Linked DNA regions of Schizosaccharomyces pombe. The protein of the gene in region 1 interacts with the protein of each later gene in a pairwise test. Each region holds a gene or a part of one and is shown in the gene's direction. Other genes may lie near its edges.

The links.
Region 2: the proteins of tmf1 (region 1) and pre9 interact in a two-hybrid assay, tested with the Schizosaccharomyces pombe proteins (one large-scale study listed by BioGRID).

What each region holds. Positions count from the first base shown.
Region 1 is NC_003423.3:2,507,622-2,511,550, reverse strand, and holds the start of tmf1 (TATA element modulatory factor-like protein), read left to right. Parts: upstream 1-2,317; 5' UTR 2,318-2,347; coding exon 2,348-3,929. Other genes in the region: kin17 (KIN17-like protein), read left to right, coding at 1-766; Der1 family protein, read left to right, coding at 1,117-1,354, 1,406-1,500, 1,551-1,892.
Region 2 is NC_003424.3:423,243-427,171, reverse strand, and holds pre9 (proteasome core particle subunit alpha 3), read left to right. Parts: upstream 1-1,932; 5' UTR 1,933-1,948; coding exon 1,949-2,695; 3' UTR 2,696-3,246; downstream 3,247-3,929. Other genes in the region: splicing-associated factor Dre4, read right to left, coding at 1-808, 850-1,066, 1,103-1,142; RhoGEF Gef2, read right to left, coding at 3,269-3,815, 3,865-3,929.

The sequences.
Region 1 (3,929 bases):
TATTCGACAGATGAATGTAATTGCTATGAACCCAGGCAAACGTATACAAGATTTTTCCAACCAATTTTTACGAGATTTTATAAGTCTTCTAAGGACTGCTCACGGTGAGAAAAAGATTCATTTTAACCAATTTTATCAAGAATATATCCGCGATAAAAACCATGTTCATATGAATGCTACTCGATGGCATACACTTAGCGAGTTTTGCAAATTTCTGGGTCGTCAAGGAATGTGTCGCGTGGAAGAAAATGAAAAGGGTTTTTTTATTTCTTATATTGATAAAAACCCTGCTAATATCTTAAGAAATGAGGCTAACAAGAAACGAGAACGTCAAGAAAAATCTGATGAAGAACAACGTCTTCGCTTGCTTGATGAACAGATTAAGCGTGCTTATGAATCAGCACAGAATAACGAGGACAATAAGGATGGAAGTTCAAGGGAGCAACCTGTACTACATGAGATTGATCTTTCAAAAAAAGGAAACCCGATTCAACTTAATTTATCCTCATCTTCAGATTCTCACTCTGCTCAAAATGAATTTTTTCAAACAAGAAATACACCCACATTTTCTTTTTCTAGTTCATCCTCCCAGACCTCCTTGAAGCACAAACCAAAAAATGTTTTTGCAGAGCTGAATAAAAGCCGTAAAAAGAACAATAAGGATTCTTTAGATCAAGGGCAGAATGTAAAAAGGCCACGGTCAGCTGTTGAAGACATTATTGCTCAAGAAACAATGAGAGAGAAAAGACGCAATATAAAGCTCTAACCGGAGAATTGACGTTTTTAAAAGGCTTCAAAAGTGAGAATTTATTTATTGGTTTATTATTTATAAAAAAAATACGCTTGTACTTGTACTTTTACTTTTAATGTAGCTTATTTAACCGTATATGTGTTATTTAGTAGCCTTTCTGCTAGCTTAGTCTACTTGATTTGAAGGTGCTGTAAAATACATGAAAGCTCCAAATTTCATATAATTTTGCTTTCACTTGATCTAAGTTAGAGATTTAATAACTTATATTTTACTATAGTACATATATATGAAAATGTTCGATACGTTAGTAATTGTAGCACAATTCCGTATACAACCTTGCCTGAACAAACATAATCAGTTAAGACATGGCTTCGGAATTTTCCGGTCAAATACAAGAATTGCTGTCTAGAATACCTCCTGTAACAAGGTATATTCTGCTTGGAACAGCAGCTACCACAATTTTAACTTTATGTCAACTTCTTTCACCTTCGATGCTAGTTCTGCATTATCCGTTAGTCGTTCGTCAGAAACAATGGTATCGTTTATTTACTAATTATCTCTATGCTGGAACTGGATTTGATTTTATCATGAACATTTATTTTTGTACGTAAATCCATTAAAACCTGTATTTAAATTCTAACGTTTTGTCAATAGTTTACCAATATAGCACATACCTGGAAAACTTTGTCTTTGCTAGGAATGCAAAAAAATACATTATTTATTTAGTTAAAGTTGCTCTTTTAATTGATGTAAGGAGTATTTGAAGGTCTAAAGTATGCTTATTAACGTTTCTCTTTAGGCATTTTCCTTGATCTCAGGACTTGGAAGCGCGTTAAATCAATCGCTTGCCGCTGCCATTGCTTATAATTGGTCTTTGTTTAACTCATTTTCCAAAATCCAGTTTTTGTTTGGTTTTCATGTTCAAGGCAAATATTTGCCATATGTTCTTCTTGGCTTCAGCTTTCTAACCGGAGGTCTTCCATCTCTAGTAGTATTGGGTTTTGGTATTATCTCTGCAATGATCGTCAATTTTTTTGATTCGATTCACACTCCTGTTGTCCATCGCTCCAACTCTCCCAAATTGAATTCCCAAAAGGTGTCTGGAACATTCATTGGGAAGGGCAAAAAGTTAGGCACTTAATTTTTCATATTGATGATTTCATTAAGTGCGTTAAAAACAGTCGATACGTGTTCGAAATTTTTATCAATATTTCTTACTCCATTCATCACCTGTCGAGTCTGGTAGGCAAACTTTCACAATTTTCAATAATGCATCAATGAGTTCCACTATTTCAAATTTTTGATGAATAATATTTCACTTCTTTCCTGTACGAACACGACGGCTTTCTCATTCATATGCTGATAGCTAAAAATCCGAACTACACTAATTTGTTGAAATGTAGCCCTTTATTATAATGTTCTTATCTAAATTTCTTTTTTTATCCTTCACCAATAGACTAAAGTAAACATATGTACAAATTGACGTGCGAGGCATATGCACTTAGAAATCTTTTATTTTACGTTCATAAAGTAAAGTGGGCCTATACCACGTAGAGTACACAGATCAACTACCAGCCAGTGTACGGTGAAGCAGGCATGGAGAATTCAAAATGGGGAGGTTTTCTTAAGAAAGCAATGTCAAATGTTGAAACCAGTATTGACAAAGTCTTAGACGGTAATCAGATTGAGGAGATGTCACGAGGAAATGCAAAATCAAAAGATGAGATTATCGCAAAGCTTCTTACGGAAGGACAGGCGCTTTCAAAAAATGAGTTAAAGTTAAACAATACAATTAAGCAACTTAAAAAGAGTTTAAGTGAAGCTGAAACAAAGTTGAAGCGCCTAGACGAGAAACAAGCGACTCCGGAATTACAGGTATCTGACTCAAAGGAGATGGAGGAACAATTGGAACTACAAAAGTCTCAATTTGAAAAGAGGATATCAATTTTAGAGAAAGAAAAGGAGGATCTTCAAAGAAAAATGGAAGAACTTACAGTAGAAAGCATGGAGGTTGTTCGTCTTACGCGTCAAGTAGAGACCCTCTCAACCCAGTATTCGATTCAAAGGAGTCAATGGGTACGTGAAGATGAAAAGAAGAAAAAGGAAATTCAAGACCTGAAAGAACTTTATGAGAAATCCGAGCATGGTGCAAAGAATTGGGAAAGGGAACGTGAGACTTTCCAGAATCAAGTATCTCAAATGTCTAAACAGTTAGATTCATTGGAGAAACTTTGTGAAAGGAAAGATGAAGAAATAAGGAGTTCTCAGGCTTTTAATATGACATTGAGAGAGGAAAATGATACTTTAGCAGCCCAAAATTTGGACTTACAAACACAACTAGACCGATTACAAAGGGAGCTTGACACTAATATAAGAAGTAATGTTAAATCTAAGCCTAAAAAAATTGTCACTACAGGAGGAATTCCTGAAAATAATGATTATACGGTTGGAAAGGTAGATACGCTTAAAGTCACCAAAGAAGATGAAGATCCCACTACCCCTACTAATGCTATTCCGATACCTTCATCTATGAGCAAGCGTGATGAAGCTTTAGAAAATGACAAAGATAATTATTTTGACGACCTACATCCCTTAAATATTTCAACAAGTCCGCAACCATCTCCTTTGAGTTTTTCAGAAATCCCACAAAGCGATACACGGAATGCTTTAGAAAACTTTTTGGATAATCTTCCTTCCCCTTCAGAAGAGAGATCCAGAATTTCCAGATCAGCATCAGAAGCGCGAAAGTTGGGTATAAACGCTCAGTCAAGGTATGCTTCCATAAGCAGTGCAGTTCTTTCTCCTCCTTCGGAAGCTTCAAGAAAATTTAGCCTATACGAATCTGAGGCAATATCACCAACATCAGGGACACCCAGCAATCTTGAAAAAGGTGCCGGGAATGTTCCTGATGTTAGTCTTTTGGAGCAACTTGCTACCACAATTCGCCGATTAGAAGCCGAACTACAAACAACTAAGCAGCAAGTAGCGCAACTTATAATCCAAAGAGATCAGGCCCGTCAAGAAATTGTTGATGCCTATGTAAATAATGATGCAAATGAAGATTCAAAAAAGCAAGTGGAAGAGCTTAGACTACAATTACAGAACCTCGAAAAAGAGCATGCCAGTACGTTGGTAACACTTAAGCAGAAAAGTGACAAAGTGTTTGAATTAGAGCTGG
Region 2 (3,929 bases), on another chromosome or scaffold:
AATCTGAAACTCACGGAAAAGTTTCTCAAAATCACGTTCCGAATATCCTGGAATTTGAAGAGTCGACGACTTTCTATATTTACGTTTAAATTGAGGCCATAGCAAGGTAGATGGAAGTGAATGAAGCAAAGTCCAAAAATCCGATAAGGTATTTTTTCTACGCGTAATTTTTTTGGTAGAAACCACCGACTTGCAATATTCCTCAAACACCTCTTTTCGTCTCTCTCCCGAATCTAATACGTAAAAACGATCATCGTCTAATAACTTTGGATAAACTAGTTCCCACGGTTGGTATGCCCCGATGTTTTTGTCCTTCAAAAGTTCAGTAAATACTCTTCTAGCATCATCAGTAGATAAATTTGTAGCTTGTTCCTGTATATCATAGGAAACTGTTTCATCATCCAATTGTTGAAGTTGATACATAATATCTTCCTCACCAAACTCCAACTCTTCAGCGGAGTGTGATTTTTCCTCATCCTCTTCTTCATCAGATTTTTCATAAAATTCTTCAGAATATAAAACGGATTCCTCCGATGATTCTTCTAAACCAGAGGGCTCTTCAATCTCTGTTTGTAAATGCCTAGATTCATGTATTTCTTCGTGGTTGGTTTTACCACTATCAACGTTCTGACTCTGTGAGGAATCTTTACTGATTTGCTTCCGTATCGGAAGACGTAATATCTTCAAGTCTTTACTAATTTCCAAAGGAGGTTCCCAATATGATTCATGGCTTTTTAAATTGTGAAAGAAATACCGATTTTTCTTAGTAAAAACAACCACCCATGAATCATTATTAGGAATTCTTTTTCTAAAAAAAAAGTTAATAACAAAATTTTACGCCTCACATACTTGAATTTTGGTCTGTCCGGTAATTGTTTCCTCAAATCTCGAGAATTTTTGCGCTCTTCAGCATTTTCATTAACAAACAGCTTTTCGCTTGTGTTAAACGCCAAAGAAGCTTGCGAAGCAGTAACAGAAGATGAATGGTTTTTCTCAATGAAACTTGGGCGCTGGTAAGTGCTTTTTTTTAACTCGGCATTCCAGTAATAAGGAATCCCACTGGGTGCTATGAGTTAGCAAATAAACTGCTCATTAAATTTACCTTTATGTTCAGTCCATCCAGGAGGCAAAGGCTGTGACATTAAGATATGTACAATCAAGAAGTTAAGTTCGACACTATGTTAGGTAGTATTCAGTGGGCGTGTGTGTGAGAATAGATAGAACAGTTTTGCAAAATCCAGCTGAATAGTTATGTCAATTACAAAAAAATTTCTACAAACTATTAAAAAAAATCTGTATAAATTGCATAAATTCATAGGTGTAGTTAACATTATTGAATATACTACAAAAACCTCATAACAGCACCGCACGTAGCGTCTTCCCAAGTATTTCCTTTAGAACAAATAAGAAGTTAATGAAATGGTCTACCAAGTACAATATAATAAAACATTTTCGAGAACTTCAATTTTAATATTGTCAATTTACAACAACCCGCATAAATTTACGAGCAATTCATAACTCGTGGTAAATCGTTAAACGGCAGGCTGGAAGTATTTGTAAGCAGCTACATTTTTACACTAGTATTGACTCCTCTGGTTCAAATATTTTTACAAGCAGATTTTAATTATTAGCAACCTACACTGATAACTTTATATCTTGAGGATATGAAAGTACTAAAGGTAAATTGATTATCGTAAAAATAGCTCTCATTTATAAAGACATTTGTTGTACAGCATAGCTTGTAAAAATAAGCGGATTAACAACATACTAATTTAAATCATAATAGATTAATTGTATTAGAAGACAGGTAAAAGTCAGTCCTGTTATAGTAGTGTAGTAAGCACATAAAGAATAAAGCAAGTGTGGTAATCGCACTTCGGTAGACCTCATTAATGTTCGTGATCTAGTGCTTCGCGCATTTTCGAACTTGTCATCAACCAAATTCATTATGTCAAGAAGCTACGATTCTCGCACGACTATTTTTTCACCTGAAGGTCGTTTATACCAGGTTGAATATGCATTGGAAGCGATCAACCATGCTGGCGTTGCTTTAGGGATTGTAGCTAAAGATGGAATTGTTTTAGCTGCTGAAAAGAAGGTTACCAGCAAACTATTAGAACAAGAAGAATCCGCAGAAAAGTTATATCATATAGGAGACAATATGTTATGTGCTGTGGCAGGGCTTACCGCAGATGCAAACATCCTAATTAACTACGCTAGAAGGGTTGGGCAACAATACTTGCAGACTTTTAATGAAGAGATGCCTTGTGAGCAATTAGTTCGTCGCGTTTGTGACCTCAAACAAGGTTATACACAGTATGGTGGGCTACGTCCATTCGGTGTTTCATTCTTATATGCTGGATGGGATCATATTCGTGGATATCAGCTATTCCAATCTAATCCATCTGGAAATTACGGAAGCTGGCAAGCAAATAGTATCGGAGGAAATAGTACTAGTGTTCAAAGCTTAATGCGACAGGAGTATAAGGATGATATAAACTTAGATGAGGCTTCTGCTATGGCCGTGAAATTTTTGAGTAAAACGTTGGACAGTAACTCCCTAACTCATGAAAAAATTGAATTTGCAACAATAACAAAGGATACCACGAAAAACAAAATGGTTTGCAAAATATGGAAGTCAGATGAAATAAATGAAGTGCTCAATAAGTACCAAGAGACCCAGCGGCAATCTTAATATTGCCTTACTCAATTCATTGGGAAAACACTTTAAGTGTATAGCTGTTTTTTATAGCTTTCGTCGTTACCCTTTAATCTCCTTGTAATTAGCTCATGGTTTTTGTAAACAATTTGAAGCAAACTAAGTTCCATCATGAGCCTTATTCCGTCTCAATATAGGCTTGCTTTCTTTTTATCTACGCTAAATCATTATCTTATGAATTCTTATGCCGTTTTAAAAAAGGCTTTTTTCAAGTTTCTTTTATACTTAGACCTTTCTTTCTCATTCCCTTCATAACGTCAATTTCTACTTGAGTACACCATTCCGGCATATTTAAAATTATAGTATTTCCAATGGAATGTCAATGACTCTCATATGTTCTAAACTATATGCTTAGTTTTCATAACTGAAGATTTTAAACGGTGTAGCATATTCCAATTCTATACTATTTATAAAAATAAGAGAAAACTTTTTGATGAGTATTATTAACTTTCACTTACATATTGAAGGATAAAAAAAATAACTATTGATATCTAAAAAAGGAATAGTAAAACAAATAATCTAATAATCGATGTAGTATAGACTAGTTGGCTATATAAATATGTTGGTTTGACAACCTTCCTTAGCGTTTAGCTTGGATTCATACTCTTCAAGAGTCCACTTTGCGGTATCTAGTTCACATTGTTTTCTAATTAAACTGGCTTGAACTGATTGCTTTATAAGCTTAAGATCATGGTTGAAGCGATCATACAACAGAGGGATAGACTTTTTAGAATCTTCATTTAATCGAGTCATTTGAGCCAACCTTGCAAGAGTCAGATGATATTTGCGTCGTAAATCCTCGTATGCCTCTCGTTCTATTTGACCAGGTAAAATTTCCTTAGGGTGTCTTTCCGGCATTTCTTTCATGGCAATTGCTTGGAATTTCGATTCATCTAACTGTTTATCATTATTGGAATTCGCAGGGGAAACCGGAGTCGGCAATTCCTCTACTGTTCCAAAAATGCGATCACTGTGGTATGCAAGGTAATAAACAAGTTCTACAGCATTACTTCCAAACATGGAAGGAGCCAAGGCAATTGCTAGTTGTTTCGTAACAAAATCACATTGATCTTTAAGAGGAAGTCTCAAAAGCAAACTACGACGTTAGATAATAAAACCTCTGAAAAACAAGCTTGGTGACTTACTCGGAAGCAATAGAAAAAATGTTCTCAAGGATCTTTAGGCTACTCTCGGGTAAGTCTTGTAAGAT